Canis lupus familiaris: one gene and its partners. The protein of the gene in region 1 interacts with the protein of each later gene in a pairwise test. Links are inferred from orthologs where the notes say so. Each region holds a gene or a part of one and is shown in the gene's direction. Other genes may lie near its edges.

What was found. The genes of interacting proteins can lie anywhere in the genome.
Region 2: the proteins of FHL2 (region 1) and ITGA7 interact in a two-hybrid assay, tested with the Homo sapiens proteins (2 studies listed by BioGRID and IntAct). The link is inferred for Canis lupus familiaris from reciprocal best matches to the Homo sapiens genes FHL2 and ITGA7.
Region 3: the proteins of FHL2 (region 1) and ID3 interact in binary tests that used the Homo sapiens proteins (3 or more experiments, as listed by UniProt). The link is inferred for Canis lupus familiaris from reciprocal best matches to the Homo sapiens genes FHL2 and ID3.

Annotation. Positions count from the first base shown.
Region 1 is NC_049231.1:39,045,639-39,055,589, forward strand, and holds the start of FHL2 (four and a half LIM domains protein 2), read left to right. Parts: upstream 1-5,138; 5' UTR 5,139-5,279; intron 5,280-5,574; exon of another isoform or gene 5,575-6,669; intron 6,670-9,951. UniProt on the Homo sapiens protein: May function as a molecular transmitter linking various signaling pathways to transcriptional regulation. Negatively regulates the transcriptional repressor E4F1 and may function in cell growth.
Region 2 is NC_049231.1:457,859-467,836, reverse strand, and holds the start of ITGA7 (integrin alpha-7), read left to right. Parts: upstream 1-5,044; 5' UTR 5,045-5,233; coding exon 5,234-5,439; intron 5,440-9,707; coding exon 9,708-9,835; intron 9,836-9,934; coding exon 9,935-9,978. UniProt on the Homo sapiens protein: Integrin alpha-7/beta-1 is the primary laminin receptor on skeletal myoblasts and adult myofibers.
Region 3 is NC_049223.1:75,269,804-75,278,727, forward strand, and holds ID3 (DNA-binding protein inhibitor ID-3), read left to right. Parts: upstream 1-5,161; 5' UTR 5,162-5,224; coding exon 5,225-5,524; intron 5,525-5,643; coding exon 5,644-5,703; 3' UTR 5,704-5,726; intron 5,727-6,251; 3' UTR 6,252-6,290; downstream 6,291-8,924. UniProt on the Homo sapiens protein: Transcriptional regulator (lacking a basic DNA binding domain) which negatively regulates the basic helix-loop-helix (bHLH) transcription factors by forming heterodimers and inhibiting their DNA binding and transcriptional activity.

The DNA of each region.
Region 1 (9,951 bases):
TGCCCTTCATCTTTAGGTCAAGGAGAAGGAACTGCTACTAGAGCCCAGAGAGGGGGCCCTAACTGGTGCCATGGCCTTGCCCAGAGGGAGACCACTAACCTGCAGCCTCCCTACAGAGAAGATCCAAGCACCAAGGACCTGGCTTCACTGTCCTGTCTTCTGATCTCTTGCTGATTCCTTCTATTGGCTAACCCCAAGCAAAAGCCATAGAACAAAGAAACCCTTTGATGCTTGTCCACATCAGCCACCTGGGCACGGAGCAAAGGGTGAGAGGACCAACAGAAGATGTCCCTTGGCATTACCCCTCTGGGGGTGGGACAAGGAGGGTAAGGTTTTTCCAATGGTTCCACCACATGGTACTTGTAAATGGTTCTAGAATTATAGGCTTGCTGACCAGATTATAGCCCATTATCTGCAGCAACAGATGGAACACATCTGGGAGTGGCTTCTTGTGTGGATGCAGGGGCTAGGGAGGTACCCAAATTCTCCTTCCATCTACTTCGAAGGAAGGCTCGACATGTCACTGGTTAAAGTTTTGTCCCTTCGATCGAAAATGTTGATTCCTATGGAGCACAAGTTACTTTAGGCAGAGTCACCAAGCTGTTACTAACAATGTGAACCATGGAATAAAGATTCCAAGAGCAGATCTGATAGGAATTTGAGGGAGAGAAAGAAACTGAAAGGCAGGGGCAATGCCAACCTGCTGGCATACTGTTATGCTGCATTTTTTGTGTATTTTTGTCATGTGTCTTGAAGCAGAGTGATGTGTTGGATCCAGGGGATCTTAGCTGAGGAAAACTCAGGCTGGTTCTAGGGCCCCCACGTGCTTTCTTCTTGCACATGTGCTAGCTAACAGGACCCTGAGACCCCGGTCATTACGGAGTTAGCTTCCTGACTGGATAACTTGGTTTCTTTCAACACCCAAACTCATTCAGTGTAAGTCAAGTTCAAAAAAGAAGACAGGCCTGGAGTCTATCACACCAACAAATGGTGATGCTATTTTACAGGTTGAAACTTTCCAGAGCTGTTTGCAGACATATTTACACTATGGGACATTTCTTCAGCCCTTCTTGCCTGTTTATGACTCGGGGAAGTGCAGAGGGAATGTTTATGTAGAGATTTCTGTGATAGCAAATGGAGTAGTTAGATCACAAAAGGTATTCATTTGAAAACAAGGACACGGAAGCAAGTATCAGGCTCGTCGTCTCAGCTTCTGTGGATAAACACTGCGGAGGCAGCACATGTCATAAAGCACCGTCTGGTGCACCCGGACACACGCTGCCTCTGCGTCTGAGGACTTCTCAGTACAGAAAAACAGGCTCCGCTTCCCCCTTGCTCTTCCCAGCCTACAAGAGTTGATTCTGTTCTATCTTCCTTCTGGAAACTGTTCTCTCCAGATTTCTGGCCTCAGCACTCAGAGCTGATCTACTCCTGATCTACTCTTCCTTCTCTGGCTCCCTGAGTAGCTCATCTTCCTCTGTCACAGAATCTACTAATCCAACAGGGGAAAAAATCTGTGTGGGGTGAAAGAGACTAGCTCCCTCAGGCTAGGGGCAGGTGCAGAGACTCCCTGTGCCTTCCCATCCCAGGGAGGGTGGTAGGTGCCAAGAGTAGCAGAATCAGCTTCACAGAGAGATTAAGCTTGTCCAATGCAAAGCAAGAAGCACTGGTGACAGTGATGACTGTGAGGCAGCAATAGTAAATGGCATCTACAGTGACAGGGAGGGCAAGATGCTCCAGATTCAAGGTCAGGGGCTTAGGCTCGCACAATGTTGTGAGTACAACACACAGACTGTCAGCTCCTCGATGTGAGGTTCTTCTATTTTGTTCAGAGCTGAGGCTCCAGGATCTAGCCATGGTGTTTGCAACATGAAAGAACCTCAGCGAATTTTTTTTAAATGAATAATACTGATGGATGAATGAGATTTCATGACCCCGTGGGCAAAAGCCTTGTGATGGGCCTGGGAGCTGAGATGCCGGCACTGGTGGGGTGCCCTCAACAAGGCTGGTGGCCAGGGACAAGCTCCTAGAGCTCACAGGTTATCTGGGGGTCTCCGTCTTCTTGCTATCCTGTGCCTACCAGTTTCTGGGTTCTGGGGTCAACTCAATGCCTATTTGCTGAATTGAATTGAAATGTCTGTTCCAGACCTACATGTCCCTTGGGAAACAGGTTCAAGAAAACTTGTCAGCCTTTTCTCTGTGATATTGTGGAAGAGAAGCCAGTGCCACATCCACATCCCATACGGCATGTCACATCTAGTCCTGACCACAGCCCGGATTGTGGGTCACAGCCACCAAAGCAGATGCTGTTCCCTCCCACACATGCCTGCTCCGGGGGTGACTGTCAGCAGGCATGGTGCGTCATGTCCCACCCACCCCAAGGCTGTGTGCCTGCAGCGTACCCCTCTGAAGGGGGGGTAGTGAGTCAGCGCGGAGGAGGGAGAACAGCACAGGGGATGCTTCCAACAGCTCTCACTGGAGTTCAAGGGAGAGCCCCTGGGCTGCTGAGCCCATACACCAGCCTTGACTCCCGTGCCTTGCCCCAGGCGCGGCTTTCTCCAAGAGGAAGCCCCTCCAGCCCTTCCTGCACTGGCCTCTTCCCCTGTGTAGGGAACCTGTGCCCCATACAGGGGCTGACCCGAGGTGAAGCTACCCTTCTCACCAGATGTCTGCAGGACACATGCCAGCTGAGATCTGGTTAGAGCTAACACAGATGAGGCTTTAGGGAGACCATCCAAGAAAAGCTTTGGCACCTAAAGATCCAAAGAAGAGTCCAGAGCATTGCTCAGCCTCAGACTCCAGGCTCTGTCCCTGGGTGGTGTGTGATACAGAGCCTATTCCTGGAACAGCAACTCAACACAAAAGCTTTGAGATTACCCCACTGCGGGCTATCCACCAGGTCCTATTCATGGAGGGGACCCCCCTCTACTGTTTACACGTGGAAGAGAAGCCATTAGAGCATTAGGGTCTTTCTGTACCTGTAACCCTGGGAGTCCAGTGGGAGGGGAGCCCCTCTTCCAATTACACATCTCAGTGGTGGGTGCTTCCCTATCACACGGTCAGGGGTGGAGGTCATTGCCCAAGTCAAATATAATCAAAAAGGAAGGCATCTTCAGGACATACATATTCTTTAAATACACATAGAGCCTTTGTTATGTCCTGGCCAGAGTATAAATTAGGATATGTTAGGTTAGATAAAGGCGATCTGAGTGTATAGGCATTTTCTGTTGCCTCTAGTACATAAATTTTCTTAGTTTTGGACTCCTCTTTCTCTCTATGCATTTTTTTTTTCTCTCTTCCTGACTTACCTTTGCCTTGACAGGGGCATTCAGGGACTCTATTAGCATTCTACGTCATATTGCTGGTATTGGCATGAAAAAAAAAAGGCTGCTGACTCCAACATAGGTCTTTCTAAAGTGAAGAGACCCCAAGGAATTCTGTGATCCTAAAACAAATTTGGGACCATTAATGCAGAAATACAGAAAACTCTCTTCTGATTTTCAGAAACTTAAGTTTTATTTATTTATTATTTTTTTAAAAGATTTTAAAAATTTATTTATTCATGAGAGACACACAGAGAGAGAGAAGTAGAGACACAGGCAGAGGGAGAAGTAGGGTCCCTGCAGGAGCCCGATGTGGGCTCTATCCCAGGAGCCTGGGATCATGACCTGAGCCAAAGACAGATGCTCAATCAGAGTCACCCAGGCGCCCCCAGAAACTTAAGTTTTAAGTGAAATCAATGTTTTTATTATAAAAGCAATAAAAGATCATTGTGTACATTTTAGAGATGTCATATAAGCCAAGGAAAAAACATCAGCCATAATCTCATCACCCTGCCATAAGCACATTCCCTCATTGGATGCCTATCCTTTCAGCATATGTGCAATAGTAACTTCTCACACATACACCAAGTTTCCCTTAAAGTGACCTGCATTTTCACTACCAACATGTCATCATATTGTTTCTATGTTATTAAATATTCTTCTATGACATTTCCAAAGGTTGCAGTGTTTCCTTCATGGCTATACTATTCCTCATTTTACCAGTCTCGGTTGTTAGTCATTTTGGTTGTTTCCAACTTTCCCCAATTATTAAAAAACCTGCAAGAAATGTCCCTGGAGCTGTATCTCTGCTGACATCCACGATCCTTTCCTTAGGATAAATTCCCAGATGTGGAATGTCTGTCATATGGCAGACAGCTGCTGCCAAACAGCTGACCTCAGTTGTCCTTCACCTGACCCCAGCCATGGCTGAAAAGCCTCCCAGAATTAAGAAATTTAGGGGTGAATCAGGAATTATTGCTACCCCAGATTAGTCCTCTCTGACCTCTTCTAGCATATGGTTTTTTTAAAAGCCCTGGGTGGCTCAGTGGTTGGGTGCCTTTGGCTCAGGGCATGATCCTGGGATCCCAGACTGAGTCCCACATTGGGCTCCCTGCAGGGAGCCTGCTTCTCCCTCTGCTTGTGTCTCTGCCTCTCTTTCTGTGTCTCTCATGAATAAATAAATAAAATCTTAAAAAATAAAAATAAAAAAGCTCCATAAGATTTCTGCATTAGCTCTATAAAGAAAATGATTTGTGGCCCAAGAATCCCCCCAATCATGCATGAGTGGGGGGTGGGAATGGGGAGAGAGGGCCTTTATAAGGAGACTGCATTCCCGGCCTCCCACGTGCCCAGCATGAAGCCGATCCCTTAGAATCTCCCCTAGAATCTTTTTCACCCAAACCAATACCCCTGAAGCCAGGGAAGAGGGTCCGTGTGCTCCTAGCAAGAGGCAGCGCTGACAACCCACAGCACACCCCAGGGCACTGTGTGGCCTGGATGACTTTCCTCCCCCTTCTGTACCACAGCGCCGGCCCTGATCTCGGGGTGGGGGGGTCTCCCAGCATCCGAGCCCCTGCAGCCCCCCAGGGACTCCACCACTTGTCTGACCAAGCGAGATCCCTCCCAGCGCTCGGCTTTCCCCTCTCACTCCTCCTTGGGTTGCTGGACTGTGTGCAAGGCCCAGGGTGTCCTTGAGGTGGGCAGGCCAAATGGGGAGCTGGCACCCCTTCCCATCTGGGGGCCGAGGCTCCTTTAATTTGGATACCTTAAAAGGCTCGCGGGAGCGAGGGGCTGGGTTCTTATCTCTGGGCTCTGGACAGCACCTTATTTATAGCCCTGCTGACACGAGGCGGCAGCTGGCCAGCAGCTGCACACACAGTTGCAGGAGCAGCCCACGAGCGTGGGCCCTGCCTCCCCACTGGCCCCTGGGCTCGCCGAGGGCAGACGACAGGACAGGTAAGCTTCCTCCTCCCCGGGGCCCCTTCCTTCCCTGTGCCCTGTGTCCTCCCAGGCTTCGCTGCCAGCTGTGCGGCCTCCTGCCCCGGGAGGGAGCTCTCTGGCACTGTGCACCTGCAGACCCCAAACCCAGCCCCAGTGGCCTGGCAGCGGGCCCCCGCCTGCAGCCAGCTCCTGCCCGGGGCTGCGGGGCTGTGGGGAAGGAACAGAACCTGGCCCTGGCCGCTGCTCCAAACCCACGGCAGGTGCCTCCGGGAGTAGAAAGAACACGGAGGGAACCCTCCGTTCATCTTACCCTCTCAGACGGGGAAACAGGAACTACACGGAGTTTTGAACACCAGGAAGCTTTTTGTAAAAGAAAAAAGAAAAAAAAAAAAAGTATAAAATAAACATTGGGAGGGGGGAAACCACAGTGCCCTGGAGCTTTTTCTCCTTGACAGAATTTCCGGATGGCCTGGGGTGAGGAGGCAAATTACTGAGGAGTCTGATTAGGCTGGGAAAGTATGTTTATACAAGATGACTTGTTACGGCTGACGGTTCCAAAGTACAGATAGCTGTTGTGTGCTTAAAGGAAATGCATTCACATTTTACTAATTTACTAATTTCTAGAGCAGGATGTGAGCAAATGCACAGTATTGAGTAATGCTTGGGCCAATTGTGTAATAATGTTAACACTGATAAGATGGCATATTCTGATAATAGGTGTCATACATGTTAACATCCTCTAGTCATACTCCATGCAAGGCACCTTATCAGGTCTAATCCAATAAAAAGAGATATTACCAGGCCATTTTTTAAAAATAATTCTGAGGTCAAAAGATAGTATTAACACTTGCGTTATTGGCTGATGTTATTTTATCATGGACTTGCTCTATATAGGTTTGTTCTGGTTTTATTTTATTTATTTGTTTCTTGAGGAATGCTATTTGAATTTTGTTTTATTGCTAGGTTTATAACATGATGTGCTGTAATCAAACCTATTACATTTTGAGATCCATCCAATCTTAGGAGAGTTTTTGTCTTTAAAGCAGTAGCCAGCTACTCAACTCACACAATTACATTTTCGAGGCCTTTTCTGATATTAAGAAAATGCTTCAATGTATAACCTTCATGAAGAGTTGCATAGTTTCCCCTAAAATATTCCCTGACTGCTCACTCAATCTTGCCTGTTTTTGAATGCATTTTGCACTATTAGATTTCTTCATCCCACTTAGTGCTTCTGGAGTTCTCCATTGGTTCCAGATCCTGAGGCTAGGCCACGTCATATTTCTCTCTGTAATCTGATAGCTCTTAACACAGGGACCTACATAGTCTACTGGTGTCTAAAATACTTCAGATTTAAAATAGATGGCCAAGAAACTGAGTTTAAATTGTCCTCTCCCCACCGTCAAAAAAAATTTTTTTCAACCAAATAAATTATAAAGATCTTATTGGTTTTACTCAATGATTCATCAATTGGGCAGTATCCCACCCAGCAGACAGAAAAGGGCTGTGCAGTGTGTACAAAACTGAAGACCTTTACAGACAGAAGGGAACAGGAACTAGGAAGGTACATGGGACAAAAAAAGTGGACTGTTTATTCCAACATTACTTTCCTTTAGAGGATGACAGGGCTCTATCAGGCAGATGACCTAACTAATGCTCATCAGGTGAGTTCTGACTGCTTTAAAATTCCATTACTGGAAGAGGCCAAAATTGTACTTAGGTTAGGTGTGTTTGGTGACGTGGAGCTTAATATAAGTGACTCCATTTGGGGCCTGTTGTCCTGTTTTTAACACCACCAAAGAAAGAGGTGAAATTATATTCATAGTGTTTATATTTTCTTTCATTGTATCTTACTGTACAAATATATGCCAGAAAATACAGACCAGCAGAGAGAAGAAAATGAAAAATTATGTGTGGTCTTACTACATTTATTGTTTATCCTATTTCTTGATTCTAAGAAGTCTTTGATTTTGAGATGAGCCACTAATTTAACACTAGCTTTACAAGAGAGGGAAGGAAAGAACGCCTGGGTGGCTCAGTGGTTGAGCGTCTGCCTTTGGCTCATGGTGTGATCCCAGAATCCCAAGTCCCACATTGGGCTCCTTGCATGGAGCCTGCTTCTACCTCTGCCTGTATCCCTGCCTCTCTCTCTGTGTCTCTCATGAATAAATAAAATAAAAAAAAAAAAAGGTGGGGGGGGGAAATTCTCACTATATACCACTCCACATTGATGTATTTTAGGATGCATCTGAAAACAATAAATTATATGGAGAACTATAACTTCTAATTAAGAAAAAAATATATCATCAGGTCATTTGGTAATCTGCTTTTTGTTAAATTTATGATCAATGTCCTTTCACCAAGCATTCAAACTTTATTTCTTTGAAATTAGTTATCTTTATATGACATTGTGATTTCTTTCATTTAGCCAGAATATTCAAATACTTATAATGATGGGGAATTAGAATGATGGAAACTTAAAAAAAAAACATAAATTAAGCTTTAGATAAGCAATTTTATCAGGATATAACTAGTTGGGTTTTTTAAGATTTTATTTATTTATTCATGAGAGACAGAGAGGCAGAGACACAGGCAGAGGGAGAAGCAGGCTCCCTGCAGGAGCTAATGAGCAATATGCTAATTTCTACACTACTAATGCAACCCACTGAATAGTAAAAATACACAACCATCTTGTGCCTTGATCTACATGACCCCTAAAAGTTTATTTGGCTGATTTCTTCCTCATTATCACTGATTCATCAGCCTTTTATCATTTAGTCTCCAATATACCAAATAAGGATGAAAAATAGAAAGGAACTAACATAAGTTCTGAGCAATTTGATATTTGACAGATGTATTTCATAAATATCATTAATTATCTTAAGTGTAAGCTTGCAAAGATCAATTTTAACTTTGAGTACATTTTTATAGTTTGGGGCTTTGTTGAATTTAAAAGATAAATTTTGGATAGAGAGAAGAGGAATAAAAATTCATTTTAACAGAATACTTTTACAGTAAAAAGGAAATACTGAAAAGTTACACTGAAAGCAAACCATACCAAGCCAAAGACTCATAAAATACACTCCACGGGTTTCACTAAGAAGGCACGTATAATTAGATTTTAAGGGGAAAGTGAGAATTTCGTTTTGGTCTTTAGGAAGTGAGCCTTCTTTCCCTGCCTGGGACCCGTCTAATCAGCAGGAAGGGGGGTAGGGGTGTATGAAGAGGCAGGAGGAACTGATTATTTTAATGTGAAGCAAGAGGCACCAGAGCACTTTCTGCCTGGTCTCAGACTAATTTCAAGATGTCAGTCTATGGTTTAGCATGAACACAAAAAAAGAAAAATCCATGATGTTGATTATTCTACTTCTAATTCATATCCCTTGTAGTAAAACAAAGTGGATAGTATGAAAGCAGACAGGGCTATATGACAACATATATGTATCCATTAAAATGATTAGTGCAACTGCTCGAATACAATTTGGTTAAAAAAATTGTGATACAGCCATTGTATTAAATATATACAATAATTGAAAATAAAATTTGCAAAGAATTTTTAATTTTTAAACACAAACCTATATGTATAATATATGCTCTTAACTGTGTAATATACATCCTGAAAAAATATACTAAAATATACAAAGTTATTGTTTCTTGTAAGATTATTTGTAATTTTATATTTTCTCTACATTTTAAATAGCTTGCTAAATTCCTACACGGATACTAACCATGGGATTTTTTTTTTAAATTGCAAAATCCATGCAAAAATAAAGCACTTTAATTACTGCTGCTTATTACAAAAACTATAAATAAACAGCCACTAGGGTCAGCTTTTCAAAAAACAATTGCTATAATTTATTGACTGAGCACTTTGTCTGGGAACTAGTATTAGTTCATATAACATTCCCAGCCACCCTACAGGCATTATTATTATTTATTATTATTATTATTATTATTATTTTCAGGTAAGGAAACTGACTTAGAACAGTGTTATCCCCTGCAGAAGGTTCAACCAAGTTCAAACTGGCCTGGCTTCAAGGACCTTCTGGTTGGCATTAGAATAATAAAAAAAGCAATCTTCAGGCCATATGCAATGAATAGTGTGTTTGAATGGCACGCATGCATCCTGTAGGAATGGTGGGCGATATTCCTGTAGGAAAGACATGGATGGGTAAAGTTTACACCGACAAAGGTATGGAGCTGAAAGGAAGTAAGGAATTATGAAAGCACAGACAGGTGGGGAAGAATGTGAACGATACAGGGATGGGAGCAAATGGGATTCAACCGCAGACTGAAGGTGTGTCCTACGGGTACGAGATGAGCTAAATGTGTATGCATCGGGCAGGGAGGGGTAGCAGTAATACTCTAGGGACAATGCTGCTCTTTGTTCTCTTTGAACATTCCTATAAGCCCACATTTTGTAAGAGGAAATGAAGAGGTGTCCTGGCTCTCCAAAGTAAAAAAAAAAAAAAAAAAAAAAAAAAGGAAAAACAAACCTCTGTAAAGAATCTGAATTGGGACTAATTTCAATTCCAAATTTAGAATGGAATTTTAATTCCATTTGGAATTAAATGGAATTTCTTCTTTGAATGAAACTCTGGGCCAGAGAGGTCACGGTAGCTGATGTCTGAGCACTTGCCTGGGCCAGCACTGTAGTGAATACTACTCGTGTGTGCACACGTGCATA
Region 2 (9,978 bases), about 39 Mb from region 1:
ACTCCAGAGCCTGAGTGTAACCACTTTATCTGCTGCATAAGCACAGGCAAGACCCCGCGAGGGGAGGCTCTGTCTCTTGTCACTGTGCCCTTCTAGCCTGTGGGCACAGCTGAAGGGAATCCTGGCAGGGGAGGAGTGTTTGGGAAGAGGCTCCCTCCAGTGAGGGGCTGATCAATAGAAGGGGGAAGAGTGAGAGCATCACCAGGCAGCCTAGTCCAGTCCTCCCCCCAACCTCCGCTTGGCTCCAGTTTCCAACTGCAGTGAGCAAGCAAAATAGAAGCTTACTGGAAGGTGCTCAGTGCCTCACTCCCAGAGCTGTGGGGCCTGGGAGGAAAGAGCCGGGGTTGGAGGGGGTTGCTAGGGAATGTGAAACAGAGGGCAGGGGCTAATGAGGGGGGTTGGTGTTGGGGGTTTCAGGGGTGAGTTTGTGAATGTTAAGATTAGGCTGACTCAGGGAGGGTGCCAGCCCATCCTGTGTTACCCTCACCCCCCTGGCACAAGGGCTTGATGTTTTCATGATCAGTAGAGAGACTGCCAGGACTCTGCAGACATCAGCTCCGCCCCCCTCTCCGCACACTGGCTGTTCCTTTGCCCTAGAGCTGGGCAGAGGACAGGGGAACCTGAATCTGGGGACCCCCCCATCTCTCCAGGGTCCTCCTCCGGGTGCTTTTTATCTAGGCGTTTGCTGCTCACTGTGTAATTTCAGTTTCTGCTGAGTTGAAGCTCAGCTCCCCACCCGACTTTGGTTGAGATGGACACAAGCTTCATGGATCTCTGAAGAATGACTCTTGACATTTGAAATCTTTCTGCCCACATCTCCTTACACTTTCCCACCCGGATTATTTTTTCTTAGAATGAATGAATGCAACTCCACGTTCCCCACCTCACCCCTCCTCCCCATTTCCTTATTCTTTTGAGTTTCTTTCTGAGTTAGCTTTAGTTAATAAGCCCTGGGCCAAACATTAGGGCCGGAAGCTGCTGAGTCAATAAGGGTTGGGTGAGGACTGAAGGAGAACATGGAGAGAGTGGAGAAGGCTTCTCACACTGGGAAGTCTGGCTGGGTTTCAAGAGGGGGGGGGGTGCTGTTGGTGGTGTGGCCAAGTTCCAAATGTTGGCCTGAAGCCAGTGCTCAAAGAAAAGGGGCCCTCAAGACAGTCTAAATGGCTCCCTGTGGGAAGTGACCTCCCAGTCCTTCTCCACAAAATGCATGGGTTTCCCTTGGATCCTCAAAGATGAGAGCAGTCAAGTCATTTCCCCAGCGTCTGCTCTCAATCAGATTTATATTTTTTCTCTCCCAGCCACTCCCAGAGTTCAAGCTTTGGCTACAGCCAGAATTCAGAGGCAGGCAAAAGGATTCCAGTGCTGGAGGGGTGGGTGGGGTGAGAAAGTCCTCATGTTGTGTGTTTTGGGGAGGAAGAGGCTGACCCTGGGACATATGCTCCACAGCTCTGCTGCCAGATGAGGTGGAGGGAGAAGTTAACCCTGCAGTGTGTTCTGGAAGTGTTTGCTTGTAAGCTAGAGGCAGAAGCTGGAAAATGTGTAATCCGGGGAAGCTGAAAAACAGGGAACACAGATGGAGGCAAAGAAAGCTGTTAGAGGGGGAAAGGGCTAGAGAAAGCCTCAGCTTCCAATCAGATAGGCCCGAAGCCTTTGCTGGACTTGAATGTTAATCAGTTTTTTAAATTATTTTGAAATAGCTATAGACTCAGAGGAAGTTGCAAAAAATAATACATGAAGCCCTATGTACCCTTCACCCAGCTTCCCTCACTGGTGACATCTTCCATAACTGTAGCACAATCTCAAAACAGGAAGCTGACATACACACACTTTTAACTAGCTTACAGGCCTTATTCAGTTTTCATCAGTGTTTACGTGCATTCACGTGTGTAAGTATGTGTATGTGTGTGTAGCTCTATGCGATTTTATCCCTTTTGCAAGTGTATAGACTTGAAAACCTACCACCAAAATCAAGATACACATCTCTTCATCACCACAAAGGAGCTTTCTTTTTTTGGGTATGTATGTATGTATTTTATTTGTTAAAGATTTTATTTATTTATTAGAGAGCACAAGCTGGGAGAAAAGCATAGGGAGAGGGAGAGGGAGAAGCAGACTCCCCGCTGAGCAGGGAGCCCAGTATGTGGCTGGATCCCAGGACCCCAGGATCATGACCTTAGCTGAGGGCAGATGCTTAACCTACTGAGCCACCCAGGCCCCCCTGTTTATTTATTTTTTGAAGTATAATTAACACACCATGTTATGTTAGCACGGTGTAACGTGCTATCTTTTTATATTCACCTCCTCCCATCCCTGTCCCCTGACAATCACTAATCTGTTTGTCATCTCTATAGTTTTAATTGGTTTTAATTTCATGAATTTTCAAACTCTTAACTCAAATACAAGAAGTTCTCTGGCAGGTTGCTTATTCAAACATTGAGTTTCCTTCATTCTCCAGATCCTCTAGCTTCTTCATTCCGTGGCCCCCCTTCTTCTACAACATTGTGCCCCACTCCAACAATCTGGTCTCATTCCTCCTTTAGGGAAAATTGACATGTCTAAATTTACTAGGCTGGGCTAGGACTCTTGCACTCCCCCCTTCGCCCTCCTTTGCCCCACTATTTATAGCCAGGCTAATTTTGTGAGCCTCTCTCTCTCTCTCTCTCTCTCTCCCCACTCCTTCCTCCTGTGGTGGGTGAGATGACTTCTCAAATATTTGGGCAGAGGAGGTCAGAAGCAGATTCTTGGCATCTGATTTCAGCCTTGGATTTAGCAGGAGCCAGCAGGGTGGCGATGAAGGGAGGCAGAAGCTGCAGGTGCAGAGAGGAAGGCACCTGGGCCTCTAAAGGCATTTGACCCTGGTTGGAGATCTCTGTTCAGAGTCAGGAGTCCTGGGTTCTATCCTGATCTTATTACTCTGCATTCTCATATCAGCTCTACAGTCTGGAGCTCTGCGATAGAAAAGGGATGGAGAGGGCAGATCTGGGGATAAGAAAGGATCCTGGTGCCTGCTTGTTGGCAGCGCATGTGTTTCCTTGATAGCACCTATTTAGAGGCATGCTAGTCCCCTAGAGGGGATGCCTATAGTGTAGGTTGCAAAAACAGGGGCCCAAATCTTTAAATGCTTAGTAACTTGCCCAGGCAAGGGTTGTCCCAGGGCCTGCAGAGAGAAAGCCTACCTTTTTGTGTGTTTTTAAAAGTATAATCTTGGGGGAGGTGAGTGGGGGCAGGGGGTGACTGGGTGACGGGAATTAAGGAGGGCACATGATGTGATGAGCACTGGGTGTTATGTGCAACTGATGAATCACTGAACTCTACATCCGCAACTAAGAATGTTCTACATGTTGGCTAATTGAATTTAAATTAAAAAAAGGGTAATCTTGGACAAAGAAGTAAGAGAGACAAAAGGGGCATGGGAAGAGAAATTAGGTAGAGTGCACTGGAGCTTTTAAGAAAGGGAGGGAGGAGAGAAAAAAAGTATATTTTAAAGATTTCATTTTTAAGTAATCTCTCCACCTAGCACGGGGCTCAATCTTAGAACCCTGAGATGAAGAGTCGCATGCTCTACCGACTGAGCCAGAGGTGCCCCATGAGAAGATGAAACCTTAAGGATAGGAGAGAGAGAGTTGTAGGGACAGAGACATTAGAGACATTGAGAAATCATCGGAGAAGGGTTCCAGGTGATAGAGACAAGAAGGGGGACAAAATTAGAGTTTGGGAGGAGACAAAACCAGATAGAGAGGGAGAGGAAAGAGGACAGGTGGATATACACAAGACCAACGCCCAGGGAGAAGGGGAGGTGAGAGCAAGAGAGGTTCCAGTTGTGCCAAATTATTTCCTATCTCTCCTCCGGGCCCCATTTCTGGATTGGAGTTATAAATAGCAGAGGGTTGGAAAATGTCCCCCCTCCCTCTGCTTCTGTCTCAGCCTGACGGGAAGGGAGAGGAAGAGGGGCAGGTCTGCTGGTCCCGGTGGAGATCCTTGCAAAGCCCCACCCAGATCCCGCCTGGTGCCGACTGGGGTGCACTGCCTTCTCCATTCCCTCCCCGTCCGAGGGTGGGAAACGGTCAGTTCAGGGAAGGGGCCTGAGAGCCGAAGACAACCTTTCCATGTCTCTGCCTCTGGGTCCAATCTTTTTCATCTTTGCCCTTGCTCTTCTTGGACCCCTCACTCCCTTTCCCCAGCTTAATTGATTTCCTCTTCCTGTATCCATCACTTCAGTCATTTTTCTTTTCTCCCTTCGTTCCATTCCTTTTATTTATTTATTTAGGCAAGTTCTGCGCCCAAGGTGGGACTGGAACTCGCCATCCCGAGGTCAAGAATCGCTGGCTCTTCGGATGAGGCAGCCAGGCGCCCCCTCAATTCCTCATTGATCAAACTCTCGCTCTTCTTTCTCTCTTTTCTCTTTGTTTCTACCCGCCTTCTTTGCTCTCCGCCCCAGACCTGCTGAATTTCTCTCTCCTCTTGTTTCTGTCTTTTCCTCGGTTCGCCTGAATGCTGGGGATGTGGCTAGCACAGCCGTTGTCGCTGCCGGTCTCTGGGTGGGATGGGACCGTTTGATTGGAGCAGCGCGCCGGGCGCCCTACGCGACCCTGGAGAGAAGGGAGCGCCAGGACCACACAGGACCCTCCCCTTTCATCTCGCGGTCGGCCTCTCCCCCCAGCCTGTCCTTCAGCCTCCCGCACTTCTCGTTTCTCACCCTCCTTTCTCTTTTTCGGTCTTTTTCTATCTGGACTTGTCCTCTCTGTCCCCGTTCTCGGGCGCCGCCCTCACCACTCCCGGGCTTGGGACGGAGTAGGGGGAAGGGCAGGAGCGCGCGGGCGGGGGCGGGGGCGGGGGCGGGGGCGGGGCCGAAGCCGGGGGTGGGGGGGTGGCGGGGGGAGGCGGGCGGGCGAGCGAGGCCGGTTCCCGCCCAGGGTCGCCAGCCTGGACACCCCTTTGCGACGCCGCGAAGTCTCCACCTGCCGCGCGGGGGCGGGGCCGGGGCGGGGCTCCCGGGGCCGGGGGCGGGGAGGCGGGAGCCGGAACGCACGCCTGGGCTGCGGCTGCCGCAGTCGCCTAGCGGGTGTTGGGGGCGCCGGGCGGCCTGGCGGCGGGAGGGGGGTGGCGAGGAGAGGGACTGCGAGGCCCCTTCAGACCTGCGGGACTCGAGATCGGAGAGCCGCCGTGGGAGACCTGGGGCTCCGGCACCAGCGAGTGTTTTGCGCTCGTGGGGAGCGCGCCCAGCGTTCGCCGCATGGCGGGGGCTCGGGGCCGTGGTCCCTGGGGGCCGCCCGGGATCCGATGCCTTCTTGGCTCCCTGCTGGCCGCGCTGCTCGCCCCGGGGGCTGTCGCCTTCAATCTGGACGTGACGGGCGCCCTGAGCAAGGAGGGCGAGCCGGGGAGCCTCTTCGGCTTCTCGGTGGCTCTGCACCGGCAGCTGCAGCCCCGACCCCAGAGCTGGTGAGTCACAGCACCCGCCCAGGGTCCCCGTGCCGAGCCACACATCCCTCCCCTTCCCCATCTCTCCGTTTTTCAACCCCACGTCGACTCAGGCTGTCCGTAGATAACCCGCACTTCAACCTTGCCTCCTCGGTCGCGGGTCCGGAGGCGCGCCCTCAGGGCCTGAGATCAGGGGCTTGCTTTGGGGGTGAGTTGGAGAGCGAGGTTCCTTTCTTGACGGGGAACTCTCTCCTTTTGCCTTTCCCCCAAACTTGCATCCGTGCTCCAGCCCCGGGGGTCTGTGACTTCCCCTCCTTCAGAGGACTGGATACTGTCAGGAAGGGGGACTGGACTTCTTGTCTCCGCTTCGGGCAGGAGGAGAGGGAAAGGAGAAAGACGTTGAAGACACCATGGGAGGGATGGAGGGTGGACCCCAGAAATAACCTCCATCAGAACATCGCCATGGCATAGAGGGAAGACAGGAGGACACTGGAGGCCAGGAGAGCCCTGCCATTTAGTTCTGTGACTCAAGAGCATGGGAAGGTTGGAAGAGGACCTGGGAGACTATGGCAACCTGTAGTAGATGATTTGATGATAAAGTGGCAGGAAACAGAGCCCCCAAAAGTTGTAGCAGCAGCAGCAGCAGGAGTGAGAGCGAGATCCAGGACAGATGCTGGGCCAGCTTGTTCCCCTTCCTCCTCCTCAGGAAATTGCCAGGTCTAGGAATCTCAGCAGTGGGGGAAAGCAGGGAGGAGTGAGGGGCAGAGAACCATCCTAGTTATTTTCTGATCAGTTCAGACGCATGGGAGATGGGCACATGTGTGTGGGGCCTGTGTCTGTCATGTTTCCTGTGCTATTGGTTCCTGCTACACGTATGATTTTATGAAGAGAGACAAGGGGAAGAAAGCTTCCCACCCCCTCCTGCCAGGGGGCTTTGCTTTCCTAGGCTAGGGCCTAAGCCACACTAAGTGTCCATTACTGGGATCAATGCCGTCCACTGGGATTGTCTCCTCCCCGGCACTATTGGCCTGAGGGCAGAGGCTAGGGACAGGAGCTCATTTCTCTTCCCTCCCGTTCCGTTCCGGGAGGAGAGGCTGGGTCTCAATTTTTCTTCTTCCATTACCCCTGTCATCAGGGAGCATGGTCAGTGGTTCCCCCAAACTTTGGGAGAGATAAAAAGCAACTGACTTCATTTCTTCTTCAGTCTTCTATCTGCTTCCTACCCCATCTCTGCCTCCCTCCCTCCCTTCTTCCCCCATCTGCCAGAGTTCCAGGACTGGAGGCCTTTTTAGGACATGCTGAACTCTCTGAGCTATTTCCAGGCAAATTCTAGGTTATTTTTAATAGCTTGGTCTCTTGTTATTTCCCCCTCCTCTCTGAAGGTGGCCCCCGAATAGGTCTCCCAAAGCCAAGCTGGGGGCTTTCCCAGAGGAGCCTGACTGCCTAAGCCTGCTTTTGCTCCAGCAAGGGGTGCTGTGCTGCCTGGTGGCATGTGAGACACCAGGTTCCTTGCTCAGTCCCTAGCTTTTGAGTTGCAGGTCACCTTCACCAGCATCCACCCATTGAAAAGCCTCACCCATTTTGATGTCTTTCAGTCTTGCTCTTGGATGAGACTTTGATGTCAAACCTTCTTTGCTCTGTGGTTTCAGCCTCATTTGTATCTTCCAACTGTAAAATGGCGTTAAACAGTAGGACTCCCAGATAGAGTGGTTGTGGAGTTTAAGAATTCTTAGTATATATAAAACCATTAGAATAGCGTAAGGCCCAGAGGGAGTGCTCTGGAAGTGTTAGCACTGTTATTCCCGTATCATGTCGTGCTCCAAAGAGCTAGAGAATAGCTATAGCACCTTGCTGCAAGCCTGGATCCAAAGGCTTGGCTAGATCGCCCTGGCTGAGTCAGCTTTCAGGCCAAGCACCCTCCCCAGAGGGCCACCCAGATTGAGAGTCAGGGAGGGCAGGCCTCGGTCAGAGCCTTCGAGCGCATGCAGAATTGAGAGGTGCAGTGGTAGTGGGCTACTCCTTTGCTTCCACTTAGCTAGGCTCTCAGGGAATCCCTCTGCCCCCAGCTGCTGACACGCTCTAGCTTTTGTCTGCAGTGGCTACAGCTGTGGCTCGTGTTCTGTCCAGAGGCCTGGGTGGCTGGGGTTTGTGAGACGAAGCCAGAAAAGTGTGTGGCTGGGGCAGAGGTGGAGGGACTAGAGAGGCTGTTCCAGGGAGGGCAGGCTGGTCTGTTCCCCACTGAGAGTGAGGCTGGGCATGTGTATGCGCCAGCTCCTTTCCTCCCTGTGGAACCCTTCCCTCCACTCTCCTCCCTACTCTAGACCTCTAGGGGAGATGTGAACACTGAGCGCTGATTGTAGCTTTTCCTGGTGCTTAGCTATGAGCTGACCAGGCGAGGCAGTGGGTGTGCCTGTGAGCCCACATAACGTGCATGTTCTACAGATGAGTCCACATGCATCCAACGGGGCAAGCACAAAGATGAACAAGGGAGCCTCAGTCCTCCAAGAGATGGCCATCTCTGAGTTTGGAGGTGTGTGTTGGGGGTACTGCGGACTTGTCTCAAGATTGGCCACGCCACCAGGTTTCCTTTTCTGTGTGGGATACCCTCCCGTCCCCTTCCTACTGGTTTTGTTTTTTGTTTTGGAGTGGTCTCGGTATTCTGGAGATGGCTCATCATTTGGTTGCATATGGTGGAAGATGCATGGGTTTTGAAATTGGGCAGATGTGGATTTGAATTCCAGCATCCTTCTTAACGTGTCTCAGTGAGTCTCCTCATCTGAAAGACACGGGAAGAATCCTCACATAGGATTGTTGGGAAGCTTAAATGAGAGAATGCATGTAGGTTGCCTAGCTTGATGCCTGGAGCATAGGCAGAGGGTGACAAACGTTAGGTCCTCATATCCCTGGCATCTAGCCTAGGGACTGACCCACAGTGGGTGCCGAATAAATGTTACTTCCTTGTCTCACCAGTGCCTGACACAGGGCTTGGCAGGTGATAGGGTCTCAATACACAGGCTGGTAATGAGTGCCAACCGACCATGCCCGCTTCCTTGCCACTCCCCGCCCCCTCCTCTCCCTGGACACTGGCTCTGACGCGGGATGACAGCTGCTAAGAGACCAGAGCTGTGGGAAGGGAGAGTGGCTCTGTGCCCTCCCCTCCCCCTCAGAACTGGCAGAGTACCCCATAGATGCCTGTCTGCAATATTGTCTGACACAACTTTGGGCCTTGTCCCCCAGCAAGGGAGACGGAGGAAAGACTGGGACAGAGGCCTTGAGGTTTGCCCTGCGTCTACTTCTGAGTCCCTCCTTCTGTGGAGAGAGATCCTTGTAGTCAGCTGGGTGCCAGTCACCTCACCTTACCCCTTCGTTCGCTCCCAGCCTGGGGCTCAGCCCCAGGGGACCCAGGCAACCTCCATTCCCAGCATAGTCCTCCCCTGGGGAAGAAGCCTTGGCTGTGATCATGGAAAATTGTCCTGCCAAGAAAGTTCTAGCTGGGAAAGTGTCTGAGGGGGAGGTAAGGGAGAGGATAGGGTTGGGGGCAGGGAGGGTGGGAGGAATGGGGAAAATCATGGATGTGGGGAGGACAAGGAACAATGGGGAAGGGGATTCAGGGTATGGGCAGAAAAATGGGGGTAGGACTGGAGACAGATGAGAAACTTGCCCCTACCTCCATGCCAGCTGGAGTGACTGAGACAATCCTGGGTTGGCAGTGTTGCTGGGGGGATGGGGTCTCCGTTGGGTCCCTGACGAAGGGGAAACAGGCCCGGATCTAGCCTCTTCCTTGGCTTCTGAAGCTGGTGCCTGGACCACCTCGTGGTGCCAGCCTGGGACGCTGTTACTTTTGCTCTCAGCATTCTTGGCATTTCTGGGTGGGTTCCAACTGGACTGGGCTTGGGGAGGAGGGCAGAGCTTGGGGATGGGCCAGGACGTGGGTAGGGAAGGCCTGGTCAGGAACAGGTGCTGGGAACAGGCGGTTCTTTCAAACTAGCTGTGCTGGCCAGGCCACTTGGTTTGGCATGTGTGCACACACACGTGTGTGTGTGTGTGTGTGTGTGTGTGTGTGTCTACAGTGCGTGTGGGCCCTCATCCAGGGCATATGTGTGTCTGTGCTTATGTAATGTGATGATTGCATGGTATTAATTTGCCCTTGCCAGGACTCAGGGAAATGGACTTCCAGCGCTCCTCCTTAGTTCTTCAACACTCACTTGGTTGGGAGGGGCTGGGCCTGAGCAGTGCTGGGGAGGCACAGCACTCCGGCTGCTAACCCCTGCCCCTGCTCCGCTGTGCAGGCTGCTGGTGGGTGCTCCGCAGGCCCTGGCTCTGCCCGGGCAGCAGGCGAATCGCACCGGAGGCCTCTTTGCTTGCCCCCTGAGCCTGGAAGAGACTGACTGCTACAGAGTGGACATCGACCGTGGAGGTGTAGACCCTGCAGGGTTGGGGGCGTGTGGCACAGGAAGGGGAAGGAGAGGACTTGGCCTCCTCTTCCCTCTCCTCATTCCCACTGTCCTGCCTCTAGCTGATGTGCAGAAGGAGAGTAAGGAGAACCAGTGGTTGGGAGTC
Region 3 (8,924 bases), on another chromosome or scaffold:
GACCCAACTTAGGATAGGTTCTCAGAAGATAAACTCCTTACCTGCTTCTCTGTGGGTGTCTACCCCTCACCCCAGATGCCAAGTGAGCTCCTGGACATCCCATGGCCACTGCCTACCTGTTGGAGCAAGAGGCTAGTGAATTTCAGGGTGGTCTGGCTGGACCAAACTAGGCTGGATTTGGGTTAGAAGAAGGAGAGAGGGAGGAAACTCAATTCCAAACTGACCCTTAAGAACAGAAGTAGTCATTCTGCACTTTAGGAATAAATGTCCTTTAAAGCATGGACAGGAGAGGGCTTTTGAGGGGAAAAACTTGAAATTTCCAATGCTCTCTGAATCTCTCTGCTTAGAAAACAAAGGTTTTTCCCGTAATGTCCCCAATACCAGTGTCTGTCTTCCTATCAAATGCGCGCGCACACACACACAAGCTTTTCTCTATCCAGTAGAATAAAACACTTTCAGGACTGAGCTACCTTCCCAAGAAGTCCCTTGAAGGCACAGATGGAAAAGCATAGGCACGGAAGAAGGACACAAGCTTTGAGACAGGCAGACATGGGTACAAATCTTGGATCTGCCGCTTACTGGCTATGTGATCTTGGACAAGCATATTAACCTTTCTAAGCCTCAGTTTCCTTGTCTGCAAAATCCATAATGGGATAATGTATGCGAAGATGAACAGTTATGATTCAATGAAAGATGAGGATGAGGATGAGGGTGAGGATGATGATGATGATAGCACCAAGTACTTCTTAACTATAGAGTAGCCTATCTTGGAGACTGCTGAAATACCCACCCCCATAAGGACTCAAGCCTTGCATCTCCATGCTTCCTACAGTCCCCTTCAGGGTATTACCCACATTCCTGAGAACAGTCTCAGCAGGAACCATTAAACTCACCTGGCATCACCTATTCTACTCACCAGGGGTGCATCACACCGTAGCACAGAAAAATAACTAATTGGTTCCCACAGCACTTTCCAATCCTCCTCCCCTTCGGTCCTCCCAGCTGAGGTAAGTGGCTATCATTTTCCTCCCCATTCTACAGAAGACACAACTGAGGCCGAGTGAGGGGAAGTAGTCCATACAGGAATTTGGAGGCTGGTCTTGACTCTGAATTCCCTGGGGTTTCCTTGTATCACATGAGTCTCAAGCAGCACTTTGAGGTCTAGCCTCGCTGAGGGGAGAAGGAGCCGTTCTTTTTTTTTTTTTCCTTTATTTTTTTTTTTAGAAGTCCGTTCTTATGTGAATGGCTAGAAAGTGCTCAGCACACAGTTACAGGTACTTTGAGAGCAAACAGTTACCTATTAGGAAATGCAGCATCTGGGGGTCTTCTGAGACCACAGCAGGCCACTGTAATGCTAATGAGGGCTAGGGAACAGCGTGGACAGGGAGCCAAGTTAGGGGAGGTCAGGGTTCTGCCCCCCCCCCCACAGCTGACATCCCAAGTAACCTTGGGCAAGTTTCTGAGGTTTCCTTGATTCCAACTTTACAACATAAGTGGGGAAAAAATAGATAGGTAGATAAATAGATAGAAACTCAGTTTAGGCAAAAAGACATCTGCAGTTCTCATCATCATTACTTTGGCTTTGAAAACGACAGCTCAGAGACCCCCCACCACTTTTTAAAATTTTAAAGACAAAACAGTATCACTTAATGGTTCTGCCAACACTTCAAAAAATCAGAGAACACAACACTGAATTTTTTTTTTCTCTTCGTCTTCTTCTTCTTCTTTTTTTTTTCTTTCAATTTTGGCAAAGGAAGATTCAGTTCCTGGAAATGCTTACAAAATGATTCCTGACACTGGGAGGAGATAGTTTAAAAAGGAAGAAGGAGATGGCAAAGAAAAACTACATACATATAGAGATCAAGGAAGAAGGTGGAAGGAAAGAAAAAAAAAAAAACAAAAGGAAGAAAAGAAAGAACCAAAAGAGGGAGGGAAAAAAGACTTTGAAGGGCCCCAATTCAAGGAACGTTATCAAGTTCCCAGCATCTGCAATTCACCAGCCGCTCTCGGGTCGGGGAGGCGCAGACCCCGCCCCTTTCTCGGGTGTCGGGCGCCCATTGGTGGGGGCGGCAGTCGCCGACCGGTGACTGCCCGAGGAAAGGTTGCCTGGGACACGCATCCCTGTGTGAACGCATGACGTCCCACCCTGGCGCCAGGCTGTCTGGGGCTGAGTCTTAGATCAACACAGCTGTGGGACCGGGACCCACAGCTGGGCAAAGGAGCGGATTCCTCAACAAAAAATAGGATTGTGAGAAAAGTTCTGAAACAAAAACAGCGCAGACAAAAGCCTTAATGACATCCTTTCATAAAAATAAAAAATGCAAGAGGGGGGAAAAAGCTGGTAAAAGGAGCAGAACTGGGAACAGAAAGTTCAGAGGCATTTGGAATAAGAGGCTGAGGCCCCGCCACCACTAAACTAGTTGCAGAAGGCCCGAGCTAGCCCCTCCAGTCTGCTGTTGGAAAAAGAAGTCTCTAGGGTTCAAACTTTATTCAGTGTCCCCAACCGTCCCCTGCTTCTTTCAGAATTAGACTCTTAGGTTGGAGAGGACCCCTAGAGGTCTTTTGCACCCCTCTCCCTCCCCCTCCCCGCCCGGTCCCCCAGTTTTGCAGAAAATTCTGCCCAGGAAGGAAGGAAACTCGTCCAAGGCCACATTGCAAGTTATTGGCATGGCCAAGAGAGAATCTGCTTGCTAATCCCACTGCATCCTTCTACTGCCTTGTGTCACACAGCCCATGGGCATTTCAGCCTGAAAGCATCTTGGGAAATAGTAAATGTGAAGATGCTTTGCAAACAGGTACGCGAGCCTGAGGCATCAGTGGTAGCAACAGAGGAGGGGAAAAGGCAAGAAGAGAACCTGTAGGGACCTGTGGACTGAACACCTAACACACACCTGGCCCCATGCTGTGTCCCCAGGCACTAAGGAGACTACCAGATCTGGTGGAAAGAGCATATGTCAAGTGCCTTGCAGAGCAGAGGCATGCAGTAATTATTTGTTGAATAAATGAGCTAGATCTAATTAGCCTTCGTTTTTATAAATTGGGAACTTGAGGCATGGAGAGTTGACTTAGTTCAACATCATTAGTAAAAGAGAAGAACCGGGATTTGAACATAAATCTGCCTGGCTCCAAAGGCCATGATTTTTCCAGAACACCCTCCCCCCCAACCCAGGCTTGACCATTTTGCACAAACCACGGAAGTCTGCGTGATAGAAAAGGAAAGGGTTTTCTATTTGGTCACTCAGGAGTCTGCGGAGCCACCATTTTCCTTTCCCATGACCAAATAGCTGGCATTCTCTTCTTCTGACGTCTGTAGCATTTATAGACTGACTTGTGCACTTACAGGTTATTTTCTTCTTCCTCATGCTAAAAAGTATAAGAAACTTGGAAACATTAACATTCTAGGGAGAAATCTTTAGAAGACCCCTTTCTTGGGACACAGAACCTTGTGTGGTATGATGGCAAACAACGGGACTTCAGGGCTGAGTCTACCATTAGCTGTGGTGTGACACTGGACATGTTTTTATAGCCCCTCTCTGAGCCCTTTACTACCCCACACCTGCCTGTCCAAATTTCATAAAGCCTTAGATTTCTAGTATTGGGAAGGATTTAAAATAATCACTTAGCACCATCTCCCCATATTAGTCACAAGGCAACAAAGGCCAGGGTAAATGGGCTTGTTCAAGATCGCATGGCTATGTGGATTTCCAGTCCAGCGTCCTCTCTACCATTATTATTTTGAGATTCTCCTAGCTCTGAGCTCCCATTGTCCTTTTAATTAGTGCCACATACTATAGAAATCTTAATTGTTTCCTGTGTTAATCTTGTCTCCCCAAATTGTGAGATTCTTGAGAGCAGGAGCCACTGTTCTGTGTAAGATGACTCCATAAATATTTACCAACTGATTGATTTAGGAAGCAACCATTGGGGGAATCCCACCTGGTCAGTTCCAAGATGAAAACCAGCATTTTGAGGCTGCAAATTCCCAAAAGTTCTGGGAAGTGACAAGAAGACAAGAATACTGAGTGCAATGTCCTGTTGCAATACAGGGCTTAGCTTCCCTGTTCTCTGATCCCTTTCCTGGGCTCTCAGATAGAGCTGGAGCTATTTCAGTGAGGCTAAGAATAATCAAGTCCAGGTGGCCCTACCCTTCCATAGCAGAAAGGGACAGACAATAGAGTGATGAAATTACCAAACTATTGTTTTCTGCATAGAGGTGTGTGGAAAGTGTGGGGTGTGGGGGGATGGCAAAGCAAGAGTTAAGAGATTGACCCCCCCCCACGGGGGACCCCTTGAAAGATTGATACAGAAATCATCTTGTCTGTCGCCCCATATTTAAAACTCGGTCTAAGATTTTAATCGAACTCACTTCCAAAACACAACTGGCAAATATTTGGCTCCTTATGGAGCGCATGGGGCCAGAGGGTGGGAGCTCCTTTCTCTCCCCATGCAAAAATCACGGATTCGGCCTGCTTTCTTCTTCTTCTTCTTTTTTTTTTTTTTCCTTTTCCCCTGTTGCTCAAATAGTGTTCTTTGCTCAAACCCCCTTCCCCTCCTCCTTCTGCAATCTCAGCCCTAGCCCAAATCTGTTTTCTTCATTGTAAACTCAGCTTCACCGCAATTAATTTTTTTTCCCCTCTGGTCACAAGATAATTCCTGACGCCAGTGAGTCTGGAGGTCAGACGAACAGCAAATTGGGGAACAAGGCGGCACTAATTCCTTACAAGTTTCCCTTGAAAAATCCTTTGCTTTAAAAAAAAAAAAAAGCTTCTTTGCTGTTCAGGGATTTATGACCTCAGAGGAGCTGTGGGTTCGAACTAGTGTTGGGCTGTGGGTGGACTGGCAGGGGGCAGGGGAGCTCAAAGATCTGGGGCGCTGCCAGGAAAAGGCAAATTCTTAAAGTTAATGGTTTTAAGTGATTTTTTAAAATCCTCGCTGGCAAAGAGGCCTGCCTCTCCCCAGTATCAGCGCTTCCTCATTCTTTGAATCCGCGGCTCCGCGGTATTCGGCGTCAGACCAGCCGGAGGAAGCCTGTTTGCAATTTAACCGGGTTGTGAACGCCCAGGGCTGGCGGGGGCGGGGCCGAGGCGCGCGTTTTGCATAAAGGGGCGTGGCCCCGACCGGGCTCTATAAGTGGGGCCGCGGCCGGCGTGCGCGCGTTGCCAGCTGCTGTCGGGGCTCCCTGGCTCTCCTGCTCCTCTCGGCACCTCCGGCCTCACTCTGCAATATGAAGGCGCTGAGCCCGGTGCGCGGCTGCTACGAGGCGGTGTGCTGCCTGTCCGAACGCAGCCTGGCCATCGCGCGCGGGCGCGGCAAGGGCCCGGCGGCCGAGGAGCCGCTGAGCCTGTTGGACGACATGAACCACTGCTACTCGCGCTTGCGGGAACTCGTACCCGGAGTCCCGCGAGGCACTCAGCTTAGCCAGGTGGAAATCCTGCAGCGCGTCATCGACTACATCCTCGACCTGCAGGTGGTCCTGGCCGAGCCCGCCCCTGGACCCCCCGACGGCCCGCATCTTCCCATCCAGGTGCGTGGGGGCGTGCGCGGGAGGTGGGGCGGGCTCGAGCTCCGGAGCCGGGATGCTGCTTGGACTCCTGAAACTCCCAAACGCCGGGCATCACTTTACCCTCTTTCTCCTCGTCTCAGACAGCCGAGCTCGCTCCGGAACTCGTGATCTCCAACGACAAGAGGAGCTTCTGCCACTGACCTGGCAGCCCTGGCGCCTCCAGGTGAGTCTCCCCGCCGTCGCCCAGGGGGTGGGGGTGGGGCGGTGCTTAAAGCGACAGATCTTGGAACTGGTTGGCCTTTTAAGCGATTATTGCCATCTCAGTTTGGGGAAAACGGGGCGAGGGAGGGGCGAGAGTGGCTTAACCCTCGGTTCCATCAAATGAATGACAGAACCAATTCCCATCCAATGTGCGTTTCCACCTTCCGCGCGCTTTGCCCCTGCCCTCCCCCAGTGACCAAAGACAGGGGGAAAAGTAGGCGCAGGTAAATAAAAGAGCCGTTCTGTCCGTAGTTGGGAGTGTAGGCTTCTCCCAACTAGTGTCAATTCCAAGAGGGCGGGGTGGTTGCAAGCTCCGCCTGTGGTCCTTTGGCGCCAACTGGGTGGGGGCAGCTTAGGGCTCGGAGTTATCAGCTGGAGGTAGAGACCAAGTTTCCTCCCTGGCGCCGGGCAGTCTGCGGACGGCCCCCGCCTCGGCGCGCTCGGCGGAAACTGATGGCTCCCTGGTCTTCTTTCCTCCCCCGCCCAGAACGCAGGTGCTGGCGCCCGTTCCGCCTGGGACCCCGGGACCCTCTACGGCCGGAAGCCCGAGGGCATGGATGGGCCCCAACCTCGCCCTGCCCACTTGACTTCCCCAAACCCCCGCCTCGAGGCTGGACCTGGCGCCCGGGAGCGGAGGACTGTGAACTTGGGTGGCCTAAAGAGCCAGAGCTAGCTCTGGGCACCAGCTGGGCAACATCTCCCAGCCCCCACCCCACCCCCAAGTTTTAAAGACTGTCTTTCACAGTGTGGAGTTGGGGGGGGGAGTGGCTGCTCTCCAAAGTCTGCCAAGGCAGCAGTAGAGCTGGTCTTCTGGTCTCCTTGGAGAAAGGCTCTGTTGCCCTGATTATGAACTCTATAATAGAGTATATAGCTTTTGTACCTTTTTTGCAGGAAGGTGACTTTCTGTAACCATGCAATGTATATTATTAAACTTTTTATAAAAGTTAACATTTTGCATAATAAACGGTTTTTAAACACTTGAGTATATGAGTATGTAATTTGTTTCCTTAAATGCTAATGCTCTCATAAGGCTGAATGTAGGGGAAATATAGATGTCCTTCTTGGACCTTGGGAAAAGCAAACTTGCTTATTAAAGGGAGATGGAAAAATGTCAACTAAGACTGGGGGCGGGGGCAGTGGAAAGAGCTCCTGCTTGGGAGCCTCATATCCATTAAGGGTGGGTGCAGAGAAGATCCTGGCCCTGTCCCCTCATTTTGTGGATGAGGGGAAGTGACTAGCACAATCTCACCCGGCAATTTGGGGGCTCGGGATAGAAATTGGGTCTCCTGAGTCCCAGTTTCTTAGGTCCCTTAGCCGTTTTGCTACATTACCCGATGGCTGTCCTCTTCAATGTCGTTAATTATTCATGTCTTTCTAGCAGGGGATGTGGAAGAGTGGCGTCTCACCTGGTGCCCAGACAGGGGTGGTGGTTGATAGACCCATTTCAGAGATGAATAAGCAGATCAGGGCCTGGTTTCATTTCCCTCCTCATGCTCTCTGGTTTGGCTTCCTCTTGGGCTTCCAAATTTGGAAAAAGAAAAAACGGGAGATGGGTTTTTCTCATCCCTCAAATCCCCAGCCACTCTGATCAGAATGATTTGGATGCTGTTTGGGGAGCACTAGTGTACCAATCCCTCTTCTACCACCAGGTAATTGGAAGACTGAGCCTAAAGTGGGAATTTGAAGCAGCAGCCCCACACCCCTCATTCCTTCTGATATTTCCTTCCTATAGCACCTCCATTGGGAGTCTACTCTGTGAACATCTTTATTTCAGAAATGGAGAAACTGAGGCTCAGTGGATAATGGGTCTGGGCCAGCTTCTTACAACCCCTTGAGAGAAAGATGGGATTTTAACCCAATGACAGTGACTACAAATGTAGTGGAGAGCCTAAGACTGGTCATCCCACGGTGCCAGGTCCAAGAGTGGGGCAGAGGGCAAGACCCCCAAACCACACCATCCCTCCTTGCCCCCCACCAGGCAGCTCCCCAGGTGGGCTCCACCAGGCTCCTGGCCTCACCAGATTCCTGTTTATGATATGAGCTCATCTGTGTTGGCCCCTGGCATGAGTTACTTCAATATTTCATAACAAACAGGTCATGTCATCACCCTTCATGCTTTAACCCTGGTGAGCTTTCAGGGGTGAACAGGGGCATGTGGTGGGGAGGCAATCTGTCTTTGCCAATCAGCTGACCAGCGATTCCTAACCTGTTTTCCTGGCTTCCTCTGATGTTCTAGTGGAAGGTATGCGCACTCCAGAAAATATATACACATACCTTTGCAGAGTGTTAGCAGACCTCTAATCCCCTAGGAAGTCCTCAGCCCCCATGTGAATAACTCCTGCCTCAAAACCAACCTGCCTCCCAACCTGGGTCTACCTTGGTTTGTTTTGTTAGGTGTGCTGTGCTGGCTCTGGTGGCAGCCATGCAAGGGTGCAAATTCTTGCTTTATCACATCCTAGCTGTACAATGCAGGCTAGAGACTGCCTCCCTTGACCCTTGGTTTCCACATCTATGTAAGATTGCTGATCCTGAGCCATCTACTCTGAGGCACCTGGCCCTACACGAGACCATTAATTGCAGGAGAGCCAGGCACTGAACTCTTCATCCACCCTTACTGCCACAGCATGCTGCTTCCTGCTCACTCAGAAGCTGTGGGACTGGGGACGGCTAGAAAAGAGCCAAATGGCTCATCTGCCATGTGACCTTGAGCAAGCCACTTTACCTCTCCAAGCCTCTCTCCTTCCTTTGCCCGACAGCTGGCAGTTCTCTTACAGCCTTCTCCCTGGACAGAAGATAATGGTGGGAAAGGTCTTTGAAATGCATCACACACCTACAAGGTATTATTAAGCTAATTCCAAGGAAATTGCCTGTCAGGTCTGCTGAGACTGAGCTCTTCAGGTGGCTGGGACAAAAGCTGAAACCAGGATGCCAATTCATTAGTCATTAGAGAGTGAAAGCAATTTGGCCGCGGGTCGGAAAACTCTCAGAATGAGGATAGTGTCGTCTGTCATAATCACCTACCGGGTGCCTGCCAGGTGTCAGGCTCTGTTTTATCTTAATTTTTTTCTAATCCTCACCACAACTCAGCAAAGCTGGTATCTTTATTCCCATTTTACGTAAGAAACTGATTCAGAGAGGCTGAATAACTCGATGCAGGTCA